4 linked regions of the Alligator mississippiensis genome follow. The protein of the gene in region 2 interacts with the protein of the main gene of each other region in a biochemical or structural test. Links are inferred from orthologs where the notes say so. Each region holds a gene or a part of one and is shown on either strand. Other genes may lie near its edges. The genes, in order: PDGFRA, PLCG1, PDGFRB and ITK.

Region 1 (7,378 bases), on a different chromosome or scaffold from region 2:
AGGTCCGCGCCTCCGCAGCTCGTTTCCCGCTCGGAGTGCGCATCTGACTGCGGATCAAAGAGAAATTCCCAGAAGCCACTTCCTGCCGCCGCTCCTGCACATGCTGCTCAGCTGCATCGGGGCAGGGAGGCGTTTCTTTGAGACTGGCAACGGCGGGGAAGGGTGCCGCGCCTCCCGAGCATGGCCTGAGCCAGGCGTCCCTTGCCCCGAACTGGGCTGCCGCTCCTGGCCTCGCGGGGCATTCACGGCTGCATGGATCCAGATGGAGTGGCTGTGTGTCCCCCGGTGCAAGACAGAAGCAGGGGAGCCCCCCCCTGCCCCTTTCCCGCCTGCCCCCGCCACCCCGCAGGGCCCACGCGAGAGATCGCGGTGTGTGGCGAGCAGAGGCACGAAGACGGGCGGGTGCGCAGGGAACCGGGTGCCCCGTGCTCCCAGGGCCTGTGTGCTGCAAATGCCTGAGCAGGGGTTGCCATAATTAAAAGCAGGCCTCCGCCAAGCAAGACAAAGGCTCCCTCCCTGCGACGGCATCTGGAGAAGCCCGAAGGAACGGACTCTTCGCCCGCCTTGTGTCCTCAGCTACTTAACCCGAGTCCATCGCACCCTCGGGAGAGGCAGGAAAGGGGTCATTACTTCCAGCAAATTGTTTCTTCTCCCGAGGCCAATAGCGCTGCAGGGGCGAGGGGGGCAGGTTGAGGCTCCCGGCCCGGCCCAATAAACAGCCGCGCGTTGCAGACTGTAATGAGCAGCCCCAGAGAGGCGGAAGCGCGGTTCCTCCCAGCAGAGCTCCCCCCTTCTCCCCAGGGAGCCAGGCCCGCTCCCCACAGCAGCCCTGGAGCCTCCCTCCCAGCTGGGCCTTGCAGTCAGCGCGCGGGGAAGGGCTGAGGTGTCAACACCAGGCTCTGTCTTGTTTCAGCTGGGACTGGTTGGAGATGTGGAGCTCGCATCTGCGTGCCACATAAACAGCCCTCCCTCCCCCCAGCACAGCGCCGTATGCTTCAGGCTGCCTGTTCTGGAAGAGCCTGAAAAGGGAGCCCTGTAACAGCTTGGGATAGAAGAGACCCGCTTGGCCCCACTGTCACATACAGTCTCAGGGTTGGCAGGGACCTCAAGGGTTGCCCAGCCCCACCCCCTTCCCAGATGTTCCTAAACCATCCCACTGAAGTGCTTGCTTTTGCACCCAGAGCCCAGGCACTCGGGTTTGTCCCACGCAAACACAAGCAGCTCAGGTGCCTCCTGCCTTGCCTAGCTGCCCTTCGCTGGGGTTGGGAGAAGACAACTGGTCACGGAAGCCATCTGGGAAACAGCGCACACAGGAATACATCTTGCTGAAGCATCTAGCTTAGGAGAGAGCTGTTTGTTTTAAGACATCATCCTTAAGAGCTGCTGGCTCTGGCAAAGCCACAACCACCAAGCTTTTCTGGAAGAAAAGTGGTAAAACTATCCAGATGTGGGGTGCCGTGTAAGGCAGGGCTTCTTAGCCCACCAGGTTCCCCCCGCCCCCCCTCCAACCCCTTCCCCCAAGCCAGACCCCCGCACACGGGCCACCCCCGGGGTGCTGGCATGTGACAGTGGTATGGAGTGCCACCTTCTCCACCGCCAGCACCGCGACAGGATCCGTTTGCAAAGCCTGTTTCTGAACTCAGGAAGGAGGAGGCTGGAGGGGGCTGGGACGTGAGCACAGTGGGGTCTCTCTCCCAGCAAATGGCCAAGAGTCAGCTGTGCTGGGAACTGGGGAGAGCGGGGCTCTCCACCCGAAGGCACATCTGGTGTGCATCTCCCTTTGCTCTCTGCCCGGCAGATACCTCGGGAGGTACAAAAATAAACACGCAGCCTTGTAAACGCGGAGATTTCTCGCCCTGTTTCCAAGCGCGGGACCACACAGGACAGCGTTGCTCCTCTCTCCGTGCAATAATCTCGTCGGATCTTACAACAACAGCATGGAGAGGGCTCCTGGCTCTCCCCCCCGGCGAAGCCCTGCAGGGTGATTGACACAGAGGGGCCTGGAGACAGCTCCCCCGGTTAATTAATGAGGTGACTCGGGACTGGAGATAAAGGGCTGCTAATGTCATCACTTTTCAGGTACCAATCCCTGCGCTGGGCCAGGAGCAGAGGCAGGAAAGGTCGAGTGATTAACAATTGCTCCCGCTCCCCAAGCATGTTCGCGCCGGGCCCGGTCAGCCGAGACGAGGGCAGCCCTGCTGCTGTCCCGGCCCGGGGCTGGGGACCATGCCCGGAGCGTGCGTCCCGCCGGGGATGGAGGCCTGCGAGGCAGCCACCTCCCCAGACCAACACGGCTACAACCTACACCTCCCCAGACCTGCACTCCAAGGAGGTTCGCTTTGTTGTTCAGCCCTGTGATCTGATCTCCCACATGGAAGCCTTTAGCGATTGTTTGTTAATGATCATGACAAAGGCATTATTCAAATTAGGCAGGTAATTACAACCAGAAGGAGCTTTTTTTTGTTTTCTTTTTTGTTTTTTTTTTCCTCTTCTGCTTCATTTTTTTTGTTTGTCCTAGAATGGGTCTCCCGTCACATCTGATCACGAAAGTACTCCATCAAAGGTCCCTTTACAGCGTCACTCGGCCTATCCGTGCACAAATCAAGGCAACGAAAGTGAAGCCAGCCTGCAAACCCACTCCACGCTAGCTCCTGGCAGCCCCTGACTGATACCCTAACTTTGTTTCAAAATTTGAAGTCCATTTGCATTTCAAACATCTTAAAGCACCTTTCGATTTCCTGAGAGCCTTGTCTCCTCATTCTCTCTCTCGTCACCACCACTTTAAACGATCAAACTTATGTATTTATTTACCTGTCAGGTAAAAAATTGCAAGATGAGTGTACCCTCCACTGCCCCTTACCCTTACTTCCAATCCATGGGAGCCTGTTATTTATTTACAAGCATTACGGTATCCTGTTAGCATTCCGAACAAGGGGCTGTTCATATATCTGCTTCCAATGATTTCCTGAAGGAACATGTGGAAGCAATAGTGAGGTTGTGCACTCACTCAAGCTGAAGATGTATTAAGGCTGCAGAAGGCTGCAGGCAATGTGATCAACTGAGCCCAGGCAGGGGGGACCCTGCCAGCCCAGCCACGGGGACTCGGCTGGCCCATGCTTTCGCTGCCTGCCTTTCACAGCCTTCCTCATTTCCCTTCGGGGGCATTTTCGCTTCAGAGACTAATTCTCCTTAGTCTGGGAGAGATGGAGCCTCTGGAGCCTGCTGCTTGACTTTGAGAACAAAGTTTTGCTTAGAAAGGAAGGGAAGGGGGATGCACGCAGGCACTACGCGGGGGAAGGGGAAAGCAGGCAGAGGATGCAGACAAGAAGAGGGGGAACCACTGTAACCTCCTCTTCTTCGAGAACCCCCTTCCCAGCGCCCAGGCGCGTCCGGCCCGGTGCCCTACGCGTCCCGAGAGGGGCCAGTCGGACGCGTCTCAGCCTCCTTTCCTGAGGCTGCAGTGCCCCCTCTCCCACGACCGCTGCAAAGACACCGCACGGAAAAGAGCCCGTCTCACTCCCCCAGCACAGATACCCCTCGGCGCTCACCACCCCTCCCTGTCTCCAGCACGCAGCAACAATCAGCAAGGCAGAGATACTTTTATCTCCCGCCGGGTGATCAAAGCCCTGTCCAGAAAGCCGGATTCACAAGATCAATTCAAAATTGTGGAGACGTCGTCTAGACAGGGTTCCCCGATCTCGTGCCGAGACCATCCCAAGCCTCCCGGTTGTCGGAAAGCAGCGGGCTTTTTGTTGTTGTTGTTGTTGGGTTTTTTTCCCTAGCGTTACCTTTCGCGGTTTCTTTCATTCATAACTATTGCTCACTCGGCTGCGGCTCAGTGCCTGCTGCTTCTGGCTAAGACGCTGCCATGCGGCTTTGTGCGCTGAGCCCTGAGCCCAGTCGGGTCGAAAAGACGGCGTGACATTCATTTCCAGCTCAGCTTTTCATCCCGAGACTTACATGGGGAGGATGGACACACGTCCGGGCATCTGGCACACCTTCCCCGAGTGCGTGGCCGAGGAGGAGAGCTCGTTCATGACACGGGGAACACTTGGGGCTTTAAAGAAACTTTGTTTCCCCCTCCCTGCAGTGCACAGCTCTCCTCGCCCCCTCCCCCCCCATACACGCTCCCTTGCCATATGGCTAAACTCCCCCCCCTTTGCCCCCCCGGCCCAGTCCGGGGCTGGTGGAGTCTGCAGGCGGCGAGTGGCTCCCCTGCTTGCACAAGAGCCCCCCCCCCGCACGCAGGCTGCAGGCGGCGGGGCCGCAGGCGCGGGGCGCGGGAGGGCGGCTCTTATTCTGAAGGGGCCGGAGGGGAGGGGAGGGGGGGCTTCGTTTCCTGACAGCTATTTACTTAAAGCAAATGATTAGTTTTGGAAGGATGGACTCGAGCGCTGGATCAATGACGAGGCGCGGTTTCTGAGCCCGTCCCAGTCGGATCTAGGGGGAGGAGGAGAAGCCACCAAGGACGTGGAAGGATTTGGGACTCCGCGCGTAGGGCTGGCGGCGCGGGTCCGCGGAGCCAGGAGCAGGTACGGGCTGGGTGGGACGGTCCCCCATCGCCTCGCCTTCTCCAGGGGCCGCTTGGGAGCAGGGGGAGGCGAAGCACAGCAGTCCCTTCCGATGCAGGCCATCAAGTCGCGGGGGGTGTGGGGGACAGAGCCAGCGGTTGTGCAGTCCCTGGGGCGGCTCACCTGGGAGCGCCGGGGAGGCGGCGAGGGCACATCTCAGCTCCCGGGGAGCTGCTGGGAGGGGGCGGGCGGCAGGATGGAGACCGGGGCGGGAGCGGGGATCTGCGCAGGGACGGGGATTGCCCCGCGCTGCGGGCGGCCGCGGTGGAGCGGCAGAGACTGGCGGACACACGTCGCGGCTCCCGGGGAGCTGGGTCGGGCTCGGGGGGCCGGGACAAGCGACCGCGGGGCATAGCCTGGCTGCTACTCCCGGTGCCCTCCGCAGCAGGACCAAATGGTCCCGATCTCTGGGTACGGCGGCCCCTCAGACCTGCCCCCACAGCTCCGGGGGCCCCGCAGCCTCGTCCCTCCCGGGCCGGCGTCGGCGCGGATGCGGTCAGGACCCCTCGGCAGGGTCCGGGGAGAGCGAGGAAATGGCTCCTGGGGTTGCGGCGGCGTTGCTCAGCCCCGGGGGGCTCCGGCAGCGCCAGACCCCGGCCCCCGCGGCGCGGCTCCTCCCGCCGGCCCGGGATCCCTTGGGGCTCGTCCCCGCCCGGCCAGCGCGGGCAGCAGCCGCGGCGCCCAGCGGGCAGAGCCACGTCCCCGGGGCGGGGGCGGCCACGGGCGGCTCCGGGCACTCGCTCGGCTCCCGGCCGCGCCGTCGCCCCGAGGGATCCTTCCCGCTCCCCCCGGCCCCGCCCGGGCTCCCCCCAGGGCACAGACGAGGCGGACCCCTGCCCTCTGCTCCGTGGGGCAGCCGAGCCCTGCCCGGGGAAGAGGGCAATCCGAGCCTGGACAGCATTTCAGTCCCCAGGGAGGAAATAATAGCGGGTCCTCCTCTCCTCTCCTCTCCTCTCCTCTCCTCTCCTTCTTTCTTTTCTTTTTCTGGCTAACCCGCATAAAAAAATGTTGCTTCAATTTGGCAAGGGCTCCCCTATTGTTTCCTAGGAAAACAACTCCGAGGCTGGATGTTGCTATTGCTGCTGGACGCCCCCCCCCCCCCCCCTCTCGGATCATCCCCCCACGCTTTCCCCGCTTCGGGACACCAGCGCCTGCCAGGGCTTCACTTCCCAAGGGCCAGTCCGTGCTCTGGAGACATTCAAAAACCCAGGACAGGGGCTTTGAAGGGGTGAATGTCAACACCCTCCTCCCCCTCCCAGCTGCCCGGCTTCGTAACATCCAGAGGTGGAGGAGCCCCCATGCCCGTGCCTTCCCGAGCTGAGCCGTCCCGGGGCAGACCCCCACCTCCCAGCTGCTCACTTCGGGTCCTTGTTGCAGGCAGACCAGGGTGGAGAGCAGCCCCTCGGGTGCTTCCCATTCACGGCCGGCGCTGCTCTTTCTTTAAGCTGCCTAAGCTTTCTGCGTGATTTCGGCCGCACCCCATTCAACATCGAGAGACCCCGCTGGTTTCGTCCCATTTCCTCCCCCAGATCCGGTCCGGTCCGGTCCACATGTGCGAGTGGCTCTGGGCGGGGAAGAAACTATTTGGCCCCTGACTTGTGACCTCGCTGCCCAGCGCCCGGATCCCGCCCAGGGGGTCATCTCATCTCAAAGAAGGACCCCCCGGAAGGATCCGTGAGCGAAGGGATCCCGCATCTGGTTGTCTCCGCGGTGGGAGGCTGAGCCACCCCCCCGGGCTGTGCGTTTCCCAGGGGGTCCTAAGAGCAAAGTCAGGCTCCCTGGTGCAGGCCGAGGGGCTGGAGGTGGCTGGAGCAGGCTCTCGGCTGAGGCGGCTCCCGAGGGCAGGCGGGGGGCAGAGCTGCCGAGGCGGCTGCTGCCCGTGTGATGTGGCGGGGCGGAGAGGAGAGGAGAGGAGAGGCTGCCGGGTGCCAGACAGCGGTTTCCCAAGGGCAAGGCAGCGGCGGAGTCTCCCTCGGGCCGGCCGGAGCGCGGGCTGTGCTGCCCCCTGGCCGCCGCAGGAGGGAGCCGCCAGCCGCTCCCCGGAGCCTGCAGCTGGTTTCATTCGGCGGCTGCGCCGCGGGCTCTGCCGGGCTCGCCCCACGCGGCTCGCTCCTCGCGGGCCGGATCCTGTGCCCTTGCTGCGGTGAGGCTGAACCTGGCCCCGGCTTCATTTCAGTGGAGCTGACGGGAGCACTGCGCCGTAGTGATGACGAGGAATCAAGCCTGTGGCTCTTGTCCCAACTCATGCATATGCAACCAGTCTTAGGGCTTCGAGCCTGCCACAGCATCTGCCAGCACAGCTCCCCCGGGGCACCAGTGCTGAATCCCGGAGAAGAAGATTCCCTCAGAGTTTCCTACCAAGCCAGTGGGAAGAAGCACAGAGCCTGACCAGACAGGAGGTCAGAAATCAAAGCCTGCAAGGTTCATATTTTGTCTGAATCCCAATGATAGGGTTTTTCAAAATGATCATAAAATCATAGAGCATTAGGGCTGGAAGGGCCCTCCAGAGGTCACCTAGTGCAACCCCCCTGCCTCAGGCCGGATCATCGCTATCCCAACCACCCTATACCCTCCATAATCTAAACTACTTAAGAAGACCGTCAGCCCTGACACAACACAGACCTAACAAAATCTGATCTAGAAGCAGAAAATTCTTTTCCAACGAGTTTCCTTGCTCTGCATGTTGGACATGCCCCCAGACAAACAATGGCTTCAACAAAGAGAATTTTTCTCCAAAACTTGGAAACAGTTTTAAGAAAAATTACAACTACACAAAAATTTAGGATTTAGCAACCCAAACAACACTG
Region 2 (7,543 bases):
CACTATGGGAAAAAAATTGCAGACTCCAATTTTATCCTACCACAAGAGCATTCTTAGATACTTTACAAAACTGCATATAGTTATTTATAAGCATCCAATTTATGAATTACTAGAGCACCCATTTTCACTTTGGAGCCAAGCAAATTGATCAAATAATGACCAAATTATAGACAGAGTGGTCTCAGGGATGCAACTAAATACCTTACCAATTCTCAGGTTTGGAAGCATGAAGGAGACATGGGCAAGAGTCCCTCCTTTAAAATTCAATATTAATGCTCAGTTTTTTAATTAAAACAACTATTGTAAACAGTGTAAAGAAAGGCACAAAGAGTGAACCCCAAACTGAACCTAGGGCTGGAAACCTTCTCTCTAGCACCAACTTCACACTAGAGTATAGCCCCTAAACATTCAGTGCAAATGTAAGAGAATTAGCTATAACTATATTTATAATTACATTGGTGCTCAGTGCATTGAGCATGGTTTACAAGAGGATTATATTTTATCAACCCACCACCCAGCTGTGAAAACATCTGTCTAGCCTCTGGAGGCTGATAAATTGGTCACTAATGACTTATCTGATAGATAAGATTTCTTGTTTTGCAAACTGGTATTAAGCTCAAGGAAAATGGAAGTCAGCAGAGGAATCACTACCCACACAGTTGATTTCGGTGCCATATAGGTTAAGAAATTATAATCTCAAGCCATCCACTGCTTCATCTTCTGAGCTCATTGCAATTACTGAGCTCAAGGCCAAAGCTATCAATTCTACGTTAAACTTTGAATTCTACAAAAAACAAAGCAGCCAAATAATGACCAACTTTAAGGTAGATGGTAACTTGTCTGTGGACTTCATTTCTAAGTAGCTAGGCAGCTGTGCCCTTCAACAGGTGATGAAGAATAGGTAAGCTTGTATACCTAGAAGGTAACCCATTAAAGTATTGTGATTCTCATTTAACTTAGCTAACCCAGGCACCAAAGAGGGTTGAATTCCCCAGAGCAGAAGGGTCTGAAGGACCAAAGTTTAGTCCCAAAGACTCCACTCTGGCTCATGCACTCCTGTCAATTAGCACTTGTGAAACACAACAATCAAAAACTTCACTTCAATCTCTTCTTCACATACATGAAAGCAGATGATGAATACCCAGGTCAGCTCCATCACAGAAGCAAAAATGGGCTCAAAATATGATTAGTTTTTAAATCAAGGAATGGGAAGGCTGGCTTTTCTTGCAGGTTTTAGGAGCTTCTGAGGGTGGAGGGAAAAAAACTCCAGGGTGAATGGGATGAATGGTCAGGTGAGAAACAAAGATGGGCCTCTTCCTAGAAGAAAGGAAGGTGTTTATCACAAAAACGATTAAGAGTTATTCTGGACTGGCCAGAGGCCCAGATCTCAAGCTAGATTGAAAATTCACACAATCTGAAATGTACATTCAAGGATTAGTGCAGCTCTGCCTTTGCCACACCACTCAACACAGGATAAACATTTCAGGCCATTAAGAGAGAGAGAGAAAAGGTTACTCGGCTTAGAAAAACTTGCCAATTACTGCATCTGTGTTGCAAAATTTCCCCCTTTAGACAAAACACCCGGGCTGTCACAGCAAGGCAGATTCCAATGCTCAAGAAAACTTGCCCATCAACCCGGACAGTCTGATGTGTGGGGAATCAGCTCTAATCAAAAGTTGCCTTCCCCACTGTTGTTACAAATCCACACTTACTTGCTCCTTCTATCTTCTCCGAGCCTCTGCTCCAGGTGATCTGTCTGGTTTCTAGCTTCACCTGGAAAGTTTTCCTCTCTGGTCTCTGGGATTTTTTCGAGTAAAACAAAGTCATCACAGTGCCAACTTCCAAGCTCCGGCAGAGGTGAACCACCTCGGCTTCGTTCTGCATGCAGGGTCCATTGGAGAAGCCGGACGCCATGGCTCCCTCCTCTGCTTCCCCCAAAGCAGAGAAGTGTCCAGGCAACACGGATCTTCAGGCTCCCGGCTGCAACTTGGCAGACTTCAATAAAACCAATCCAAGCTCATGGCTCCCAGCACAAGAGTCTTCCCCTTCCTACGAGAGGGGGGAAAGAAGCCGTGTTTAGATCCGAGGGCTTAGAGGGGGGAGCCCAGCCCGAGCGATCGTCTCCCGCATCGAAACTTTTCACTCCAGGACTGCAGCAAAAAATCGCCTCTCTGCTGGTTTGAATCATGCACCATTTTTTTTCCCCCCTCCTCCTTCCCGACGGAGCCTAAAGCGAAAGCAGGCAGACACAAAGCATTCCTGAGTGATTAGGAGCGGGACTGGGTCCTCCAGAAAGATTGGGTTGCAAAGAGAAAGGGGGGGAGGAAAGAGGGAGGCGACTTCGTAGCAAACCTCTCCCTTTTGTTCGGGGCCAGCGGTGCCTGCCTCGCTCCCCCCGCCTCCGCCTCCGCCCCCGCCCGCATCGATCGCAGCCCGATAAGATCTCGGGAGAGCTCTGCAAGTCATGGCTGAAGCGCTGCAGCCGGCTCCGCTCCGCGCCCCCGTCCCCGTCCCCCGGCAGCGCCCGGCCCGCGCAGCACGTGCGGCGGGAGCGGAGCCCGGGCAGACCTGTAGCTCCGGGCCAGCCCAAATGCATCTACATGTTTTCGACCCACTGATTTGAAACTACCCGGCGTGATCTGCCTCCCCGCTCTCGTGCATCCTGCAACGGCGGGGGCTCGGAGGGGCGCCCTTCCCCCAGCCGGCGTTCAGCACAAAGCGGGGCCAGCGAGGACGAGGAGCTGCCCCCAGCCCCTTCCTCCGCCCGGCCGCACCCGCGGTTACCGTGTGCCCGCCGCGCGGAGCTGCCCCGCGGCCCGGGCACGAAGCATCTGCAGGGGCGGGGGACAAGGCGGGTACCGGGGGGTCCCCTTTCCCCTCCGCTGCCGTCACGCCGGCGGGGCTCGGGCGAGCAGTGCTGCCGAGAGCCGGGGGTTGAGCATGATTTATTAGTCGGGCCTCGGCACGGGGCTGGCGGCTCATGCCAGCCCCATGGCTCCAGTCCCCGATGGCTCCACCTCTTCCAGCTGCAGATCAAGGCAGCTTCCTCCTCATAAATCATCTCTCCCGCAGCAGCAGCAGCTGGGGTGGAAGCGAGCGCGGGAGACGGGCGGGACGGCTCGGGTCGGGCTGGCCATGCCCATGCCCATGCCCTGCGCGGGGCCCCGCGGGCTCCCCAGCCCCGCACCGGGGGAAGGGCCGGCGCGCCCCTCGAGCCCCAGGGGCGAGCGCTTGCTGCCCCACGCATTGTGACACCCGCCGCGGCTCCCCACCTGTGTATCCTGCCACGCGGGGGGGTGATGTCATCACAAAGTAGTCCCGAGCTGGAGCAGGGCCTGCTTTTAGTTAGGACAGAAGTAAAATCCGTACTTCGAAGGCAGACAGGATGGCTCACCAGGGAGGACTGCTTCAGGAGTCATGTTACAACCTATAAAGACATGCTGGGCAGAAGAAACCTGATTACCATAGGTCCAGGGGGACTGGCTGAGAGCCTGTGTTGCTCTTAGCCATTAATAGCATGACAGTAACACACAAAGGTCCTGGCAAGCCTGAAGCCTCCCTGTGCTAGGGGCTGTCCAGACACACAAAGGACGCTCCCTGCTCCCAGCAGCTCAGGAAACGCAGAAGACGGGAGGAGGGAGGAAGACGATATTGTCTCCATTTTGACAACAGAAAAGCAAAAGATGGCAAGATTAAGCGACTCCACCAAGGTTAGACAGCGAATCTGTGGCAGAACAAGAACTGAACCCAGCTCTCCTGAAGCACAGCCCAATGCCTTAACCAAAAGGCCCTTCTCCCCATCTGTTCTTTCCTCTGCTGAAAACTCCCACCATGCCCATTAACACCTACCTGGAAAGAGCAGGCTTTGCATGCCAAGCTCCATTTTCTCATTCTGGGGAAGGGGAGAATCATCTCCTTTCATGCCAGCTCTGTTAGATTCTGGTAGTATGGGGCCAGTGCTGCAATGCTACACCCAGCCAGACAGGAAAGTAAACTAAGGGAGGCTTAGTAGATGAATAAGAAGTTGATTTGGAGTAGTTTCCCCCTAGCTTTCTCCCAAAGCTACCCCCCTCTCATTTTCCCTTCTCCCCTACTCCCACCCCATCGCTTCAGGACATTAGGCCAGGCTATTTCATTAGCCTCTAGGTTTAAGGCTTTTTGCTCTGATTAAAAGTGTTGTCAGTGCCTGAATATGGTGCATCAAGTGGGATATCACAACTGCTTGGCTATGCCAGCACATGCTTGAACTCTTGCAGCCCTGAGCCTGCAGAGGTGACCAAGGAGAAACTCCACTGCTGCTCCATGACCCAGGCAGATATTTCTCCCTCCTTGCTCCACAGGAAATCTCTTCCTTTGGCCTGCATGCTCACAAGTGGATACATGAATCTGCTTATTGCACATGCAAATATCCAGAAATGTTGCATGCATAAAATGAGCTAATATGTGCATCCAGTCATGGCATTTTCATGCCCAGTCAGACATACATTTTGCATAGGCAATTGCTCTTGCAGCTAGAAGTCAGGAGCCAGGCACATGCGGTTTGTTTTAAAAATGCACAAAGTGCTTACCAGCAAAAGCAGCAGGGTGCTGTCTACAACTACTTAAAGTGACATGAAGTTACCCACAAGGGCCACGTGTTCAGGAGGAGATAAGGTTTAGTGGCAGAGGAAACAGGTTAAGTACTCAGGAAAGACAGAGCATCTCTGTACAAACTTCAAGACGCAGGTAAAAGCATCGCTGAGAATCTAACTGTTTCAATGCAGGACTGAGGGTGAAATGAACATAACTGTGAAATAATATTCACTTGGCTGACCCCTGACAGACCTTATGCAAGGTCTGAACCCAGGGTCTCCGATGTCTGAAACATGATTAAGTCCAAGCACAGAACCCTGAAGCCTCCTGCTCAGCTGCCACCGAATCCTGGAAGCAACTAAAGTGCACACGGGCATCTCTCCTTTGGTCCTGAAACCTCCTCAGGCACCTAGATCTGTGCCTCTGCACATGCCCACAACTGTCCCCGGCTGAGCAGCTCAGCCCAGCGCACACCTCCGCCAGGTTGGGACCCCTGGACAGGGCATTCTGTTGCCATCTTGACTAAGGGGTGGAATCTGGTACCTTGCCTAGCACACACTGACGGGATCAAGTGCCTCACAAAAACGTAGGCATGACCATCACTCTTTTTCCTATCTAATTCCCTTTTTAGATAGTACCTTAGTGCTTAAGGCCAGGAAGTGAGAGAGAGAAGTGGAAATCCACCCCCCAGCCTGAGGGAATTCAAACCACCATCTTGCTCGTGTCCCAAATCACCAGGCTGAGCACCATTCTGGATGGGGACACTCTTCACCCCACCCCTGCTCTTATATTGCAGAAGGGAATGCAGGACAAATTTGGCCAGCGGAAGTGTGTAAGAGTGAGCAGGACTTTAGTTTGCACTAAACAGTAGTTGGGTAAAAATACTGAAACGGTCCTGGGAAAAGGAACCAGAACCCTGGATCCCCATCCCCTGAGTGCTCTGCTGACGAAGCTAAAGGGCCATGTAAAAAACTAAGACACAAAAAGAAGGTCTTAGGAACCTAAATTGGGACTTTTGTGGAATTCAGGCACAGCTTCAACAGGGAATTAGTATCTGGGCCTCTGGCTTCCAAGTTCCTTAACCACCAGGCTATTATATAAGGCAGGGGCCAGGGGACGGGACACAACCCATCTTGTTTTTGCAAGACAGAGAAAGCCTTGCTGTTTTTTCAAACAAATTGTAGGTGCCCATTGTCAAGAGAAGGCTCTGGGCAGCAGAGCCCAGCTGGACACCAGAGTTTCCCCATAGTAACCCTGAGTGAGGTGCTGAAGTCACAGAAAGAGGCAAGGTCCACTGTCCTCAGCACCTGCCTTGCAGGGATGTTATGGGTCATAGTTCTCACTGCAAGACCCCTCAAGCTGACAGATGCCATCTACTTAGCCACTGTCATACAGTCCTTAATCACGCAGGTAGACATGACTCAAAGGAGTGGGCTCATTCTACAGTAGGATAATTTGCATGGGTGCTTATTACAAGACTAAGCTCTATATTTCTACTGTAGTCAGGGGGCAATAAATTGATAAGATGCAGCTAATCAGAGTGACCTTCAAGGGAAATTATTTGTTCCTTTTGCTTCTTTCATTATGCATGACAGTCCTAATGGTTGTGTTTTTCCTTCCTTCCTTTTCTTTTCTTTTATGCATTAGATCATAACATTCAGGGCTTTGCTAACCCAGAAAATTGTCTGGTAGGATTATGATATTACAGATACCAATGAAATGATACCTGATTTATCTGGACTGTTTTAAAACATGTTTTCATCTATGCCTATTTAATGTCAATGCCTAACAGATGGAAGAGAGCACTCTCTGAAATATTCAGCACCTCCAACTCTTTGATTAACAGCTGAGATAGACGTGCCTCTGAAATTCCCAACGAGACCAGCTTTAAACACTCATGTTATCTCTAAGCTTATATCAAATATAGGCAGAAATTCTCTTGAAATAAAAGCTTCCTCCGCAAGCCATCCATGTACAACTCATTTTCCATGTTTCACAGGACATCTTTAGAAGCACTGAATTTACATCTTCTGAATGCTTTAAATTACATATTTGTATAGTCCATCTCCATCAGTTACTTGTGTGCAGCTAACAGATGGTGCTTTCTCTATAGAGAGGGACAAGCAGTGCAATGGAGATGGACAGCGCTGCACAGTGAAACCATCATAAGGCATGTGTGCATGAACATGTGTAAACATACTTGAATATGTATACAAGTACATAAATGCCTTTGGGCTGAACCTAAGCATGGAAAATTTCAACCCATATCCTCTCCAGGGCAGGCCTACAGCTAGAATCCATTTCTTGCAGGCTATTACTTTTAGAAGTACCTGCAAGATATCTTCAAAGAAAGCCTCCCCAGTTGATCAAATCCAGGCCTCCTGGCTCCCTGAACAGCATTTCTAGCCTAAGCTTGTCTAGTGTCAGCTTACAGCCAGTAGCTCTTGTTACACCTCAGCTCTCATGCAGCATTGCTGGGAACTCTTAAATACCTGCTGAGTTTTATCCTGGAGGTCTGGGACAACACCTCTAGTGCAGTTGTGTGCAGCCTAATGATTAGAGTACTGGACAGACTCAGGAGACCAGCTTTCCTTTCCTAGCTTTGCTTTTGGGCTACTGAGGCTGCTCCCTGCCCTGACCCTCAGTTTCTCCATTGTCAAGCAGGGACACTTGCTTTTTGAAGCACTTCCAGGTCTAGTGATAAATAGCACCCAGTATTATTATTATCAGCAGCAGCACCTGGGTCATGCTTTGGTATAAAACACGTTGCATAAAACCTACATTACTCCTTGGCTAACCTGATTCTCTCTGCTGCCACTGCTCAAATTTGAGCAGGTGCCAGCCGAGTCAACTTCTGTTTCCTTCCTTATTTATGCAGTGATGATGACTCTTGCACGTAGCTATGCAACTGAAACACTTAATTGTTTTCTGTCCTGCATCTTTAAATTCAGACAGACTTTGCTTGTGTGCA
Region 3 (7,932 bases), about 57 Mb from region 2:
ATAAAAACCTCCAAGGAGGAAGGGTCCAGGTTCTCTAGCTGAGGATGTTTCTCCGACATCCAGCCTAAATCTTCTGTGTTGCAAATAAAATGATTTCTTTTTGTCATACATTCATAGACATTCGGGCTGGACCCCGGAGGATCATCGAGTCCAGCCCCTGGCCCAAAGGGCAGGAAGTCAGCCGGAGTCACAGGATCCCAGCAAGATAAGCATCCAAAATGGAAATCCCAGACGACAGCTCACTGTCCTCTCTACAACCTTTTACATAAGAAGGAGACTTCTCATATCAGTCCTCTCTTCTCTAGACTAAAGGAGCCTAGTTCCTTCACCCTTTTTTTTTAACACGTTCGTAAACCTCTCATCCCTCCTGCTGCTTCCCGCCGGACTCCCTCTTGCTTGCCTGCACCTTGTGTATCGTCTCAGATTCACCACCCGATGACAGTTCAGGCAGGAGACCTTTCTTTGCACACCATCCTCCTTTCCCATGGCTCTGGGGACACGTGGGAAACCGGGGCACTGCTTGCTGCTCTTCCCAGCCTTCCCCCTGCCCTGCCAGCTCTCACTTAGTACCTGGACATAGGGATAGTTGACAGGCGGGGGGACGGGGACTTCTCGTGTGGCAGCTGCTCGGTGATAGCTCTGCATGCTCAGACCTACCCCGAGAGGGAGCCAAGCTGTGTGGTCCCTTACCCTGCGTGGAAGAGAAGTCACCATGGCTGAGCTCCCACTTCTGGTGGGATAAGTGTGTGCACACAGGCAATGAGCGCAGAGCAGGTGAGGTCTGCAGAAACCCCTGGTTTCCACCCACTGAGCATGTGGGACCACGACTCCCTGCGGTGGCATGACTGGGGGGGTCTCTGATTTTGGATACAGACCTCAGCAAGGGACTCGGATGTCAGAGAGATGCTCAGCACTCAGGGTATAACAGGCTGGTTTTCCCAGGCGCAGGGCTGGAAGGGACCTCCCGAAGTCAGTGTAGTCCAACCCCCTGCTTCAGGCAGGATCACCCCTATCCAAAGCATCCCATAAAAACCATAATCTACGCTCTACACAAGACAACCATCAACAACTATCTTCAGCTGAGTGCCCCCAAATTGGAGGCACTCAAACACACCCACCTCCTCGGAAAACTTTGGCCTCAGTTTCTCACTCTCACAACTGCAAATGAAACACGGATTGTGCAGCGCTGCGCCCGTCCTAGGGCGGGTGACCGCCGAATGCCGTCCATTCAGCTCCCCAGAGGATTACCCTCAGTCCTTAAGGACCAAATTCAAACGGCAATACCATTCACCCCTTCTCTGCTGCCCACCTGAGCAGAAACACCCCACTGCTTAGCACAGGCCACCCACGCTGGGATGCTGGATGGGTGCTGGGTGCAAGAAGAGCCTTTTCCTCGCCCATTGAGCTGGGAAATGCTTCCACTCAAGGTTTGTCTTTTCAAACAGCAAAGGTGCAAAGCTCCCCTGCGAAAAGTCCCGGCTGGATGAATAATCCCCTCCAAGAGGAAGCTGGACAGTGCATCCGGGCCCCTTCCCGTGAGTGGGCTCAGAAGCACTAACTCATTCAAGGTCCCATCGCATGGCTCAGCCTCCTTTGGGGCTCTTGCCCCGACTTGATGGGCTTTTGTGGCCTAAAATTCACCAGAACACAGCTTTCCATTGAGGTTGATGGCTGTGAAAGAAACCTTCCACTTGGCCATGCTGCACGTATCCAGGCTACTCGGGAAGGAGCTCTCTCAGGTCCCGGCAGCAGCGAGAGCTCTGCTCCAGCTGCTTCCCCCCAAGATTACCCTGAGCCTCAAGCTGCAGCTCCACCAGAGACCCGAGCTGCCCCGTTCCCCTCCATGGGGACGTTATCCGCTAAGGCTCACCTGGACGCTGCAAGGGGCAAATTTCAAGTCAGGGAGGCGCGGTTCTGTGCCTCCCTGGCTAATGCAAGCACAGCAGTCGTTCACGTGAAGGCGCATGCCGAGGGCCACATGAAACAAGGATGGACGTAGCCGGGGTTGCAAAGGTCCCACTGAATGATGCCATGGACGTCCTGGGCAGAGGGACGCCTGTCTGCACAGGGAAGCCGTCCTCACGTTGCAGTCAGTGGGACCCAAACACAAGCTTAAATTCTTCCTAGAGTGAGCACCCGAGGCTTGCCAGCATTCACTTCCCTCCAGGGCCCCTGCAGACCTGTCACTGCCCTCGTGGGGATCTGCTGTGGGGCCAGCGGAGAGACCAAAGAGCACAACTGAGGAGCTCTCCCATGGGTGCCACCCTGCTCTGGGGAGCAAGCACAGCCCCGCCTTCCCACGGGGCCCTGACTAAGTGCCTTGGGGGTCAGCGCAGTACTCGCCAGCCGGGCACCCTCAGAGCTGCTTTCTAAGAGGCAGAGCCTGGGCCAAGGCACCGATGCCCAGCACAGAGTCCCAGTGCCCCCCCAGCTTTGCCCTCAGCCCCCACTGCACCTGGCACAGCGGGGGGCACTGGGACAGGAGCAGGAAGCGGGGCAGAAACCCCTTGGCTTCCCCCATCACCCCAGCCCTGCAGAGGGGAGGTTGGCTCTCACCCCGGGGTGGCACCCTGCTGCCTCTGTCCCACTCGGGGCTGCCTGCCCCTTCTGCCCAGCTCTGGGTGCAACCCCCCAGCCCCCTCCCAGGGTCACCCACTTCCCCCTATACAGCCAACTCCCTGGGGACTTGCATCACAGTCCCTGGGGACTTGCATTGGAGCCTGGGCAGACAGCAGGGTCCCTTTCCGCATTGCAATCCCAAACCTGGGGAGCTGCATGGCCGCAGGGATTTAACTGCAAGGGCTGGGGGGCGAGGGGGCACTCAAACGCCCTTACCTGGAGCCTGTGCGGCCGGAGCCCTTCCCCGTCTGGCCAGGGCTGCCCCCGAGCTCTGTCCTGCCTGGAGCATCCAGCGCAAGGGGCAGGTCCGAGCCGCCTCCCGGGGAGCAGCCCCTGCCCTGCCCTGCCTCCCTGGGCTGGGCTGGCTCTAGCTCTGCTCTCCGCGTCTGCTTTCAATTCTGGCTCTTTTCCCTGCCTCCTCCTTTTTTCTTTTTCCCTGGCTTCCAGCCCCCCTCCCATTTTTCCCCTTTCTCAGGATATGAGGGGATGTTTAGAGAATCCGCTGCCCACGCCAGCAGCTGACTCATGTTTTTATTCGAGAAGGCCTGTGCTCAACTGACTCCACACATTCCCTTCGGATCTTGGCTGGAGCTGGCACCGTGCAGGCTGAGCCCCTGGCAGCAGGCTGGGCCGGCCGCCGTGTTTCTCCAGCAGCCACCCGGCCCCTTAGGTGTGCAGCCCCTTGCGCGCGGGCTCGACAGCCCACCACAACGACTCCTTTGCTGGCACAGCCCAGTGAGGAAGGAGAGTACATTCTTCCAGGGTCAGGGACCAGGGCTAGCAAAGGAGTCCGAGTTGCCGGTGGGGCGCGGGTTAGCCCCCCGGCACCGGGAACCCATGTGGACACTGGATTCAAACAAAGGCCCTTTGGATCTGAGTCTGGATGTGCACCCTGAGCTTTGTGAAGGGAGATGAATTTGCAAAAATGCGGGGGGTTTCCCTGAGCGCCCCGGCGCAGGGGTCTGTCTACATGGGGATTAACCTATTGCACCTCTCTGGCTCTGGCAGCTTGATGCCATATCTGGACACTTTTTTGGGTGAGTTTCTGGCTTAGTAGAACCTTTTGTGGGTGAGTTTCTGGCTCCCTGGAGCTGGTTTCAGGCCCTGGGTTCACCAGGATATCCTGGGAAAGCCCAGACAATAAAAACATGTTGCAAGCATGTGACGACCCACTGAGCCGACCTGGGAAATGCTCACCTGGGTCCAGCATAGGTTAATGGCCCCTGGGCCCAGCGGGTCTTTGGCATGTCGTTACCCCGGGGAAATCACCCTGTGCTCTGCCTTAGGTTTCTCTATCTGGAAACAACTCTTCTCCATGTCTCAAACTGGACGCCAAACGACGCTCTGAATCCCGAAGGAGCGTCCTGGCGGAGAACCCCACAAAGCTGTGCTGGCAACGCTGTCCCAGGACATCTCCCCGGGCCAAAAAGCCCTTTCTAAAGCATCCCCTGCCCTTCTCCAAACATATTTAGCAGACTGGGTACAGGCTGCGTGCCCCTTAGGCGAAGGGCAGCTTGGAGGCACCATTTTACTTTGCTAGGTGGATGGTTTCCAGTCGAGCCGGCGGATGAGTCGCCAGCCCCGGTGGTTTCAGAAGTTGCTGCTTATCTCTAGTTATCTCAGTATCTTCTTCCTCTCCTTGATGAAAAACCAAGTGGAGACGGCTTATCCAGAGACTGCTGATGGGAGAGGGGGAGGAACTGTCCATGGGAAATCCCGAGCTGTTACCATACAATGGGGCTGTGCTTGCACAGCATCCTTCGGTGCCCGTGATAGAAGGGAGCAAGAGGTGTGAGGTGCAGGGTTAGCCCAGGTTAGGGGCAGCCGTGCGGGAGGCTCTTGTGGAGGTGAATGGGCTGGTGGCAAGCCCGAAATGTGGCATGGAGCAGCGTCGAGGGACCTGCACAGGCTGCCCTGCTATTTGCACTGGGGATTCATTCCTTTTGGAGGCAAGGAAAGGCCCTCGGAGCACCCGCACTGGGTGCAGAGAAGGGGCTGCAGAGACAGACAAGTCCTGGGGGCCTTTCTGAGATGGGAAGCTGCTCGCGGCATGCTGAGTGGTGGGGGGAGAGGCTGGGAGGTACGGACCCAGGGCCCTCGGGGTGCAGGCACAGTCTCAAACCTCTCCCCAGCTGCTGCAGGCCAACCCTGTGGGGTGGCAGGACGGAAAGGGTGGGGGCTGTTCGTCTTTAGCCACAAGCCGTTTGACGGGACAGCTGCCCGGTACCAAGACCCTGGGGTCACCTCCGTCCTGTGGGCAGGCTGGGGTCTCCAAGGTGTGCCCCCACAGCCATCCCTTGCAAAGGCAGCAGGGTCTTGAGGCCCCTCTGGAGGAGGGCAGGGGGCTGTTACCCTGGGGCTTTGGGAAGGGCTTGCCATCGTAGCCATCGTAGAGGAAAAAGTCGTGCTAAGGAGGGCCTGGTGCATGCTGCAAACTGCTCCGAGTCCTTGTTGCTGCATCCCTCGTGCCTGTCCAAGGTCACGTTGTTTAGGAACTCAGGGTGTTTGGGCTACGGGCGCTGCGGGACAGGACACGGGGAGCCTGGAGTAAGCCACGTATGTGGGAGGAGAGAGGCTGCCTGCTCTCGCTAGCTCCCTTTGCTCCGGTGTAAGAGACCTCCGGCCAGCCGTGATGCTCAGAGGGATTAGTTACGTCCGAGCTCTGGGGTTTGCTGCAGGGATGCTGAGCTCAGCAGTGCCCACAGGGCCTAAGGTGCTCCTGGCCTCTGCCTGCACCCGTTCTAGATGCCAGAGCTGCACCTGGGCCTTGCCAGTCCCCCGGCTCCTTAAATAAAGGGCGATTCCTCTCCGCTCCGCCAAGCTGCACCCGCAGAGAGCTGTCCCGGGTGATTCTCCTCCCCATGAGGTGGGGGTCTAAGCCTCAGGCCGCGAGACAGATGTCAGAGGCCCTATCACTAGCCAGGGGGGCACGGAGCAGCATATGCTCACCCTGTAAGTCATGCCAGCATCTGCTGCTCATTTAGCCAGTGGGGATGAACAGCAGGGCGGCAGGGGCACTAGCACCCATGGGGCTGGCACAGTGGGAACAAGCACCCGGCATGGCTTCACAGGGGCCATTTCGAGCCCTGGCTGAGGGCAGGGGCTCAAGGAGAGCTGCCGCCAGGTGCCTGGGGCTGCTACCTGGACTGTTTTGCCTGGGTGGGCATTGATGCAACATGAGGCCCTGATGCACGAGCTCTTGTCACCGTGCAGAGACACTGGTTCCCGCGGCTGTGGTTATCGCAGCAAGTGGTGGGCCCCAGGGGTGCGGGGAGAAGGCATCCCAGAGGGGCCAACCCAGAGCCCCCCAGTGCGACGGCAGTGGGCAGCTCTGGTCCCCACCTCTCCTGCCGTCCTGGCGGCTAATGCTGCCCCCAGGCCAGGGGCACAGGAGCCTTGTGCCCATTCTGCTCTGGGACGATCCCATGAGTCTGCAGGGAGATGGGGGCTGAACTGCATCCCTGACTCTCCTCCAGGCTTTGGGGGGCTCCCCCCAGAGCTGGCCCTTCCTGCCTGGTGCCTTGGTGGGAGCAGCTGCACGCTCCAGTGTGAATGCGAATAGCAGCACTTCCGGTCACCCCAGTCATTCCAGCACATCTGGAGCCACTTAGGCACTGGAATGATTAACCCCTTGTGAGCTCTGCTGCTGCCATGCCAGGCCAGCCGAAGAGGGAGTGCAACCCCCGTGAGCCCGGAGCACTCCTGGAGGGTGCTGGCAGAGCTGGAGGGCAGGGCACAGGGTGGGCAGGCCCTACTCCACCCTGGCCTGTGCAGCAAAGACCGTAGGCATCCCATCAGCCGGGAGGAAGGTCTAGGAGCCACCACTGTGTTCTGGCACATTGCTCCATGAGGCACAGCGGAGCAGAGTCCCACCTATGCCTCGGTCTCTGGTCCCAGAGCAGGGGCTCAGCTCTGTCCTGCCCTACACAGGAGGGCTCCCAGGATGGCCAGCGATGGCCAGAAGTAAAGGAAAGACAGAGCTGCAGTGGATACAGAGGATCCAAGCCACTGGGCTGGCCTGGGCGAGTGTCCAAGCCAGATACCGGTCCAGGATACTTCGGGTTCCAGTTCTAGGTGCAGAGAAGCATCTGCAGATGTGTGCACACCTATGCATGTGTGCATGATGCATGTGTGGCGAGGTACATCACCTCCCCTGGGCCATGGCTTTGCATGTTGCATGTGCCCCTTGCAAAGGCTGGGTGCATACCTGGGCACTGTCCGGACAACTCCTGTGCCCGTTACAGCTGTGCCCAGTGCCCTCCCATGGCGAGCTGGGGTAGTGCCATGCAGGCAGGCTCCACAGTGCCCAGCTCTTGCATTTCCATCCCCGGACTCTCCCTATTTAGCGTTTGCAGCAGCCTCTAGGCCTTGCCAGACAGAGCGGGAGGACAGGAGCTCGGAAACCGGGATGCAGAAAAAAAAGAGGCTGGTTTAAAAAGAAAAAAGGAATGCTTTTTTTTTTAAGCCCCTTCTTTTGAGGCTGTGCTGGTGCTGTCCCATGACTGATGCAGCATGGTGAGCCAAAGGCTGCCTGCTCTGGGCCCCACAATGGTGCCAGAGGCAGCAGGGGGAGGTTACTAGTAGGGGGTAAAGCAGGTGGGACAGGAGGGGCAGGGGGCCCAGGAAAGCGAGGGGTCTCCTTTGGCTTCCAGCAGGGCAGGGCACTGCTTGCAGCCTGGGTCCAGGCCTCTGGCCATCTGGGATGTCCCCTCGGCCTCTCTCCTTCCGCCTCCTCTGAGAGCGCTGCCAAGGCAAGCAGTCAGTGTGGTAGAGACGATATCTTTTATTAGCCCAACTAGACAGTTGCAAAAACCCCAACTTCCTTTATTTGCAAGCTTTCAGGCACATGCGCCCTTCCTCGGGCATAGGAGAATGCAAAGACTGTAACGTTTCTCCCAGGGAGAAACAACAATTCGTATCGTGCCGGAGAGCTGGAGCGTGATGTAAGACGAGGGCATGCAGAGCACCTGCCCTCCTCCTGCCATGGCTTGCCCCCTTCCCTGCGGAGCCGGGCAGGAGGAGAGTGAGCCACGTGACTCCTGGAATGAGAGCAATGCGCTGGGAATGCTGGCCACGGCCTGGCTGGGGGTGGGCTGGGGGCGGTGGGGAGGCCCAGTGCGGCGGCGGGGACCAGCCGTTCCTTCTCCAGCGTGTGCTGGAATGTGCGTGCCTGCGGCGTGTGCGTGCCATGGGGCTCCGGCGCCGGGGGCTGCGCACGGCTCTGAACGCACAGCCCAGATGGGAGACCAGGGACAGAGCCCCGCGGGCAGCTTGCAGCCAGCCAGAGGCAGCTGTCCGTCTGCATCTGCAAAA
Region 4 (7,110 bases), about 60 Mb from region 2:
TAAGACAGCCTGGCATTGTGCACTGTATAATGAATTGCAGCAAATACAGCTGCTTATTGTTGCTAGTTATTTTTGGGTTCATTCTCCTAATGATGTATGTAAATATCTGCCATTAGCGTTAATGGCAATTGCGCATTTGGACCAATGAAACAATAGAGCTTTCTGTCCCCGCAATGGGGCAGTACAATAGAAAATGTCACGACAATTATTTTAAAAATTTGCCTTTGTGACACCAGGCGCTTTGTTAGCATTGGATACAGTTTGCAGACGTCTCCCCAAATGGTACTTTGACGTGGTTCTTCACCTCCTTGCAAGTGGCACAGCTTTAATTGGTCTTTGGAAGGTCCTCTTACACTTGTTAGCACCACAATTTATGCAAAAAAGGCTAAGCATTAATTAACCTTAAGCATAAGTGCTCCATTGAAACCAATGGGACAACATGCATGTTCAGTGGAAAGGAGGGACTGAAGTGTTTTGCCTGAAGCTAAGCGCGTGCTTATGTTCTTGGCTGGACTTCTTGGCACTTTGAGCCCTGCCTTAGGCTGAGATATGGCAAACAGTCAAGTTCAGTAACCAGTCTCTAAAGAAGTGCTTGAAAATCGGTCAAGATTAGACAAGGATGACAGCGAACCTCAACCTAGACCAGCTGTTCCCAATCCTGGGGTCACAATCTTATTTGGGGTCACAACAATAAAAAATGGGGTTGCAAAGACGCTTGACAGCATCGACCTATTATGATGAATATGCTTCCTATATAAAAAGGAATAAATATGTTATAACTATAAACAGGAGTAAATATAAGCAGGGTTGTTTAATGGCAGGGCACCACAGTAAATATAATCCACAGGTCAAGCAATTGAAATAAACATCAAATAAATGCACTTAATAGCTTATTAAGACTTTGTTTTCATCGTTTTTTAAATCTAAACAAGAAGTTGAAATGATTTTAAATATTGTATATGAAAAATATGAAGACCATAATGATTGTAATGCCATCTTCATGACTTGTGGAGCTTGTCTGCATCATTTTGGGGTCGCAAAAAATTTCCAGTGTTTAAATGGGGTCATGCTGAGAAAAAGGTTGGGAAGCCCTGACCTAGGGTTTTCTATTAACACTTTGGACCTAATTCAACATTTCTCACTGGCATAAAAGCAAGGAATCACCGTGGACCATCACACCCTGTCTTGACAGTATACTCACACGGACAGTCACATATGTTCCTACGTGTCTTGCGTAGACCTCCCTGCAGTACGCAGGGCTACACATGCACTTCGTCCAACTCTCGCTGCTCTAACGCAGCACAGGTGAATTGTCTTATGAGAATTTACCCCAGCTGAATGTTTGGCCCGGTATCTTGATAGTTGAGGAACTGTCTTGTCAAAGCAAGCACCTAAGCTATTGGCACGAGAGGTGAGCAGAGGAAGAAACACATCCTTGTGAGCACAGTCCTGTCTGCACATGCAAATGGGGTGGATATCGCGACACATTTTTAACTATTTTCATAAACATTTTATTTCCGGGGGGCTTTTGAGTTGCCCCCTTTTTGCCTACTGTGAGCTTGGGATAACGCTTCCAACATTTCCAAAGCAATTACAAAACCGGCGCTCCAGTGAAAGTCAGTCCTCAGATTCCCAAGGGAATTATAGGTGCCAAAATATATCCAGTGGGATTTTCAAAAAATGATTAGCCATATTAAGTGTCCACTTCCCCATGAGTCCATTAGGATTTTGGCACCTAATCTGCTTTGGCATTTTCCAAAATCCCAACTAAGTAATTCCCTGCAACTTTAGGCAGCTTAAGTCACTTTACTTAGGCTGCTTTTGAAAATGTTACTGAGAATCATCCACCTAAATAGTTGTAACAACACCCCAAGCCTTCAAATGACAGCATTTGGAGAATAGCGGGGACAGTCTCAAAGTAACATGATAAAACACATAGTAGAGATAATATTTTTACAACTTAAATGAATTTTGGATGCATAAAACATTGCCTACATTTTTGCCCCCAAACACCCAAAATCCATATTGCAAGGCAACAGAGTGAAATGATGTATAAGCAGCCATAAATGTTAACCCTTCAAGCTCTCCACCGTGGATGACTCCTGACAGATGTGATGAAAACACTTGCAATAGCTAGTGAAATTTAACAGTCTACCAAGAATATCCAACAGGAGAAGCAGCAGACTTTTGGACTTGGTAAAAACTTTAACTACACTGGCAAACACATACTTGTTTTTAATTTTTGTTATATTTAGAAAATGAAGTAGGGAAGCAAGACTTTGTTTGAGACTTTATCTGGGCAATAGAAAACATAACAGCACCTGGTAAAAGCCTGAGAGTGGGATTTTTTAACTGTTAATATTATAAGTATGATGCCACGTCCCCGTAGCCCACAGCTTAGTGTTGTAGACAATCACTGAACAGCTAAAGATGTTGCCTTCGGTTTCCAAATGAAGCAGGTGTGTATAACAGAGCCACTTTTCTTTTTCTCCCTAACTGTGAACATGGCAGCAGTCCACAATCTGGCCATACACAGGATGCTAGTTAATACCTAGGTTTTATGTCCGGTAAGCTGATGTATTCTTGTTATTATCCTTGTGCATAGCTGCTGTTACCAGGCTGCAAAAGCCAGGTTTGACATTTAGCTCGGAGCTGGTATGACAGATGCTGCTGTAGCAAGGACGGGAGGGTTCCCCTTCCTTACATGCCTCTTAACTCAGAAGCAGAGTAAAACAAGAGAGAAAAATGGCTGACTTACCCCATGGCGATGCTCGAAGTAAGCCAGCTTGGACTTGGTTAAGACGAAGAAGCGCACTTTGTAGTTGGAGGGAGATGTTCTCCTTTTCTGCTGGGACTTCTTGATCAGCTGCTCCTCCAGGAGGATGCAATTATTCATGGTTTGGTAGGGAACGGTCCTGGCCCAGGACAGAGAGCTTCTGCCGCAGCTCGGCACACCACGCGCGCCCCAAGAGAGACACGAGAAAGGAGACAGTTAATTTCTCACCAAAAGGTGTTCAAAAGGCAGCGTAGGTGCTCTGAGCTTTGTCTTTCCGTCTGTCATCTAGGCAACGCTATCAGGCTTCCTTTCTGTCAAAACCATAACCACATCCTCTCCAGTCATGAAACGAACAGCACATGCTGAGAAATGATCCAAGGGTAATGTTGTGGAAAAAAGTCACCTTTGGAGGGCACTCAATCAGGGTGACTTCAAGGATCAGGGATCAACGGGGCCGGACGGAAGGACACCTGGGCAGTACCCAGTCCAAAGAGCTCAGGCTGAATTTGGACCGTAGGGAACGGCATCTTCCTTGTCCTCTTAGAAGTAGGTTGTGAATCCAAGCCCCTCTCACAGACACCTGGCGTTGTCGTACCCACCGCGTGTTTATCAGTTCAGGACTTTACTTAATGCCTTACATTAAAACTTCTTTTCAAAGAAATTGTCTCTATAACCATCGAGTCTCTGCCATGGGAGTAGAAGCAAGTTGCAGATTAAACAATAGGAACATACAGCAGTGATGTAGAAACAGACATTTCCATTTTTTTAATATCGTCCATTAATCTCTTGCCTGTCACTGAATTTTCCAGATGTGCTTGGAGGAAGACAATTAATCCCTGCTGTGTGTCCCAGGAAAATCGCGATGCAACATGTTCTCGGTACATACAGCACGGGGCGATATAATCGGTAGCAGTGGGGTCTATATACTGTACCAGAAGTTAATGGTTTCCTTAGCTTTCCAGTGCAGCAGACCAGAAAGTCTGCAACAGCTGCAGGAGAATTAAAAACCAGAGAATGCTTTAGATGAATTCATTCGTCGTTTTATCTGATATCAATTGGGATTAATTGTGCTTCACTTCTATGTGTCAACGCATCGTAGCCTTGGTATTGATGCAGTATAACTACATAGTAGAAGCTGCTGGGTAATGGAAAAGGGGACAATGAGAAGGAAACAACTGGGGTTTGAGCAAAGACAAGCAGGTAAATGGGCTGTGTCACCAAACAACGTTAGCTGGGTCTTTCTGGGTATGTCTACACATGTACTTTAATGCGCATTAGCCTATTTTAATGCACATTGTCATAAAAACCGTGCGCTTTCACTAATACAGATTAAAATAGGTTAATGTGCCTTTTTCTAGTACTTCAGAATGGAGGCACTACATTTAATGCGCACTAATGAACATGTAGACATACCCTCTGACAACTATTCCACTGTAGCATTATTGCAAGCAGTTGCCTTTTCAAATAGCACCCCTGGATTTCAGGGTTTGTAGCATACTAAAATGAATGGAGACAGTTTGCACCTCTCTTTAATTCACTCTTTTCTGAGGATGTCTGCCAACTCCAAAGAAAGCGCTGTATTGGCCTGAAATTAGCACAGGTAGAGAAAGGTGTCTTCTCAAGCAGAAGTTGGACACTCTTAAAAATAAAGACTTTTTTTTTTAGATGTTAGAGCCTAGTTCTGTTGCTGGGGCTATTCTGTGACACATTCGATGAATTCACACAAAACTTTTGGAGCTTGGGAGCAATATTTTTCAACATGGGTTTGCTATGCAAAGATCCCTGCAGAATATACCTGCTGTGCTGCTGCATGTTGCATTGAGTTTGGGTACAGCCTTCCAGGAGCGTCTTAATCAATCATCATGGGGGTCTTCTGCTCAAGTCCTGTAGAGATTCTGCCTTCCCCCTAAGAGTTGAGACCTGCCATATAAAATCAGGAGGGGAATTTTGCAAAAAATACCATGAAAAATGGAAGAATAGGAGACTGTTAAAGAAGAGTTGTACAAATTAGGCCTGAGTTACCCATGTGTCTCTCTTGCAGAAGTGATACAGTGCTTCTACACATAGGCAGAAGCTTTGTGTGCTAGACCAGAAGGGCTGCCGGCCGTCTCTGTACCTCCTTGATGAAATGATAATTAGCTCCAGGGAAACCTTACGGTTCTGCAGGGGAGCTGATTGCCGTTGCTCTCAATGCACTTTCTCCTGATTTCACCACTGTGGATGATTTGGGGATCAGGCCTCAGAGGTTCACACAACATAACCTACTTAGTCACGATTCCTTATTTACGATCACATTGTATATGTCTCTCATTATTTTATGGTTACGCCGTGTGCTCTGGGCATTGCAGAAAGGCAAATCTGAACAAGCTGCGCCCAGGTGAACTCCACAACCTAGTGCCAGACTACCTACGAGAGCGGCCAGTGGTTTTCAGCCTTTTTGCATTTAAAGACCCCTAAAAAATTTTGAACGGAGGTGTGGAATGCCCTATGAATTGTGATTTTTTTGAGTGATCGTGGTCATCTTTTGCAGCCTTTTTAGACATAGCCTGCAGACCACAGGGACCACAGGGTGAAAACCACTGGTCTAAGCCATGTGTAGTGGGTTCATTTGGCAGGCAGGAAATGGAGGTGTGCAATGGTCAGTGAACCCTAAAAACCTGGGACAGAAATAAGAAGCTAACAAACAGGCAGCTGAGGGTGGTAAGACTGGGCTGGTCGAGCAGGGAGGATGTGGGCAGTAAAGAGATGCTTGACAGGGGGGTGTAGCAGGAGCGATGACAAGAAGCGTGATTATCTCAGCGTGATAAGCGCTGGAGAGCCCATGGAGGGATGTGCAGAGAGCACGACTTGATCAAGCGCAGAAGCTGGGGGGCCAGCAGCTGCAATTAAGCAGGAAATGATCCACGTGCTCGTTAGCAGCCAGAAAGAAAGACAGTGCAATAGTCACAGCCAGCTAGAAGCAAGGACCAAACATGTGGTTGGACTCCATGGATGGAGGAAGAAGGCAGGACTTGGGAGATGAAGAGGAGAAAGAACGAAATGATATGGTTTCAGCTGGGATGTGGAAAAACAGAAGTACAAAATGACTCGTGATGGTGGCTCTAAGGGACAGGGCGTACGATAGACAGATCGAGACTAGGAGAGAAGGCGCAAACTCACAAGGACTTGGGAAGAAAGATTAGTAGTTCGGTTTTATCTCTAAAATATCAGACAGCCAGGGCCAAATGTGGGATCGAATGAAGGCAGGAGACAAGGCAGTGGAGACTGTTAAATTTGTGAGACTCGAGGTGACTGCAGGGAGACCTGACTTTGGAAACTCAGTCTAATTATTTAGGTTGCTACATACGGGCCCTCCGCTTTGGTACCTGTTTTGGCCATATCAATCTACTTAAAACTTTCTTACTTGTAGGGTGCCAGCCACTTTCATTAGCGGGGTGGTAGACATCTAAGGTACTGCTGTTCATACGTTTCCCCCCTGCCTGTCACTTAGTCTGGGCAGCGAAACGGGATGGGTTGGCTTCAGAGTCTCTTTCCACGCTCCTGTTGCCTGAGCTTCCTAAACGATGGGGAAGTACATCTATCAAATACATATCCTTGCAATGTTACTTTTTAATGAACAAGACCCAAAATGTGGCCATAAATGACATTCCCAGACCATCATGACTACAACATCACCCCAATTCCATAGCAATACAGGTAACATTTCTATAACTGTCTAAAAGAGCACACACCAACTGCTGAAACTTCCTGAGCCTGACGAAGGGTTTTTGAACCCGAAAGCTTGCTTAATAACTATTCTCCAACCATTTGGGTTGGTCTAATAAAAGATATCAAATTCACCCAAGGAACCTTGTCTGCCTACGAGCCAAAGTATTATTTTTACAACAACTAAATACAGTAAGAGCTTGAGTCTTATTGAAAGTCATGACATGGGCACATGACAATTACTATGGAGGAACTTAACCCCAGATTTTTCTCCGTGGTAGACTTCCAAGCAGCTCTCCTAACTAGCTGGGCTCTATGCAGAGGCTACCCCAAGGATGAAGATTATTAGGGGAGTAATATACCACGTGTCTGCACCCAGAGTGGGAGTTACACCTTGTAAGGGTCAGATTTACAGTGCTATTTAGGCACTTAAATAAATTGAGCCTGGTGGGATTTACATAAGCAAGGTAGACACCTCTCTGGGAGTCAGGCACCTAATTCTTTTAGGCATCCCATCAGACAACAGACCGATCGCTGCAGGTGGCTGTATGCCTTTCCAAATCTGGTCTGAAGTGGTTGTCGCTTTTCAAAAGAGGACTCAGATTTGTCCTACACGTCGGGAAATGTCC

Evidence for each region.
Region 1: the proteins of PLCG1 (region 2) and PDGFRA form a complex in vitro, tested with the Homo sapiens proteins (2 studies listed by BioGRID, with this or other methods). The link is inferred for Alligator mississippiensis from reciprocal best matches to the Homo sapiens genes PLCG1 and PDGFRA.
Region 3: the proteins of PLCG1 (region 2) and PDGFRB form a complex in vitro, tested with the Homo sapiens proteins (3 studies listed by BioGRID and IntAct, with this or other methods). The link is inferred for Alligator mississippiensis from reciprocal best matches to the Homo sapiens genes PLCG1 and PDGFRB.
Region 4: the proteins of PLCG1 (region 2) and ITK form a complex in vitro, tested with the Homo sapiens proteins (2 studies listed by BioGRID, with this or other methods). The link is inferred for Alligator mississippiensis from reciprocal best matches to the Homo sapiens genes PLCG1 and ITK.

Annotation. Positions count from the first base shown.
Region 1 is NC_081825.1:59,716,255-59,723,632, forward strand, and holds the start of PDGFRA (platelet-derived growth factor receptor alpha), read left to right. Parts: upstream 1-4,367; 5' UTR 4,368-4,532; intron 4,533-7,378. UniProt on the Homo sapiens protein: Tyrosine-protein kinase that acts as a cell-surface receptor for PDGFA, PDGFB and PDGFC and plays an essential role in the regulation of embryonic development, cell proliferation, survival and chemotaxis.
Region 2 is NC_081832.1:17,809,604-17,817,146, forward strand, and holds the start of PLCG1 (1-phosphatidylinositol 4,5-bisphosphate phosphodiesterase gamma-1), read right to left. Parts: upstream 3,006-7,543; 5' UTR 2,785-3,005; intron 2,339-2,784; exon of another isoform or gene 2,050-2,338; 5' UTR 1,915-2,049; coding exon 1,713-1,914; intron 1-1,712. UniProt on the Homo sapiens protein: Mediates the production of the second messenger molecules diacylglycerol (DAG) and inositol 1,4,5-trisphosphate (IP3). Plays an important role in the regulation of intracellular signaling cascades.
Region 3 is NC_081832.1:75,044,845-75,052,776, forward strand, and holds the start of PDGFRB (platelet-derived growth factor receptor beta), read right to left. Parts: upstream 3,014-7,932; 5' UTR 2,836-3,013; intron 1-2,835. UniProt on the Homo sapiens protein: Tyrosine-protein kinase that acts as a cell-surface receptor for homodimeric PDGFB and PDGFD and for heterodimers formed by PDGFA and PDGFB, and plays an essential role in the regulation of embryonic development, cell proliferation, survival, differentiation, chemotaxis and migration.
Region 4 is NC_081832.1:77,836,798-77,843,907, reverse strand, and holds the start of ITK (tyrosine-protein kinase ITK/TSK), read right to left. Parts: upstream 3,007-7,110; 5' UTR 2,897-3,006; coding exon 2,759-2,896; intron 1-2,758. UniProt on the Homo sapiens protein: Tyrosine kinase that plays an essential role in regulation of the adaptive immune response. Regulates the development, function and differentiation of conventional T-cells and nonconventional NKT-cells.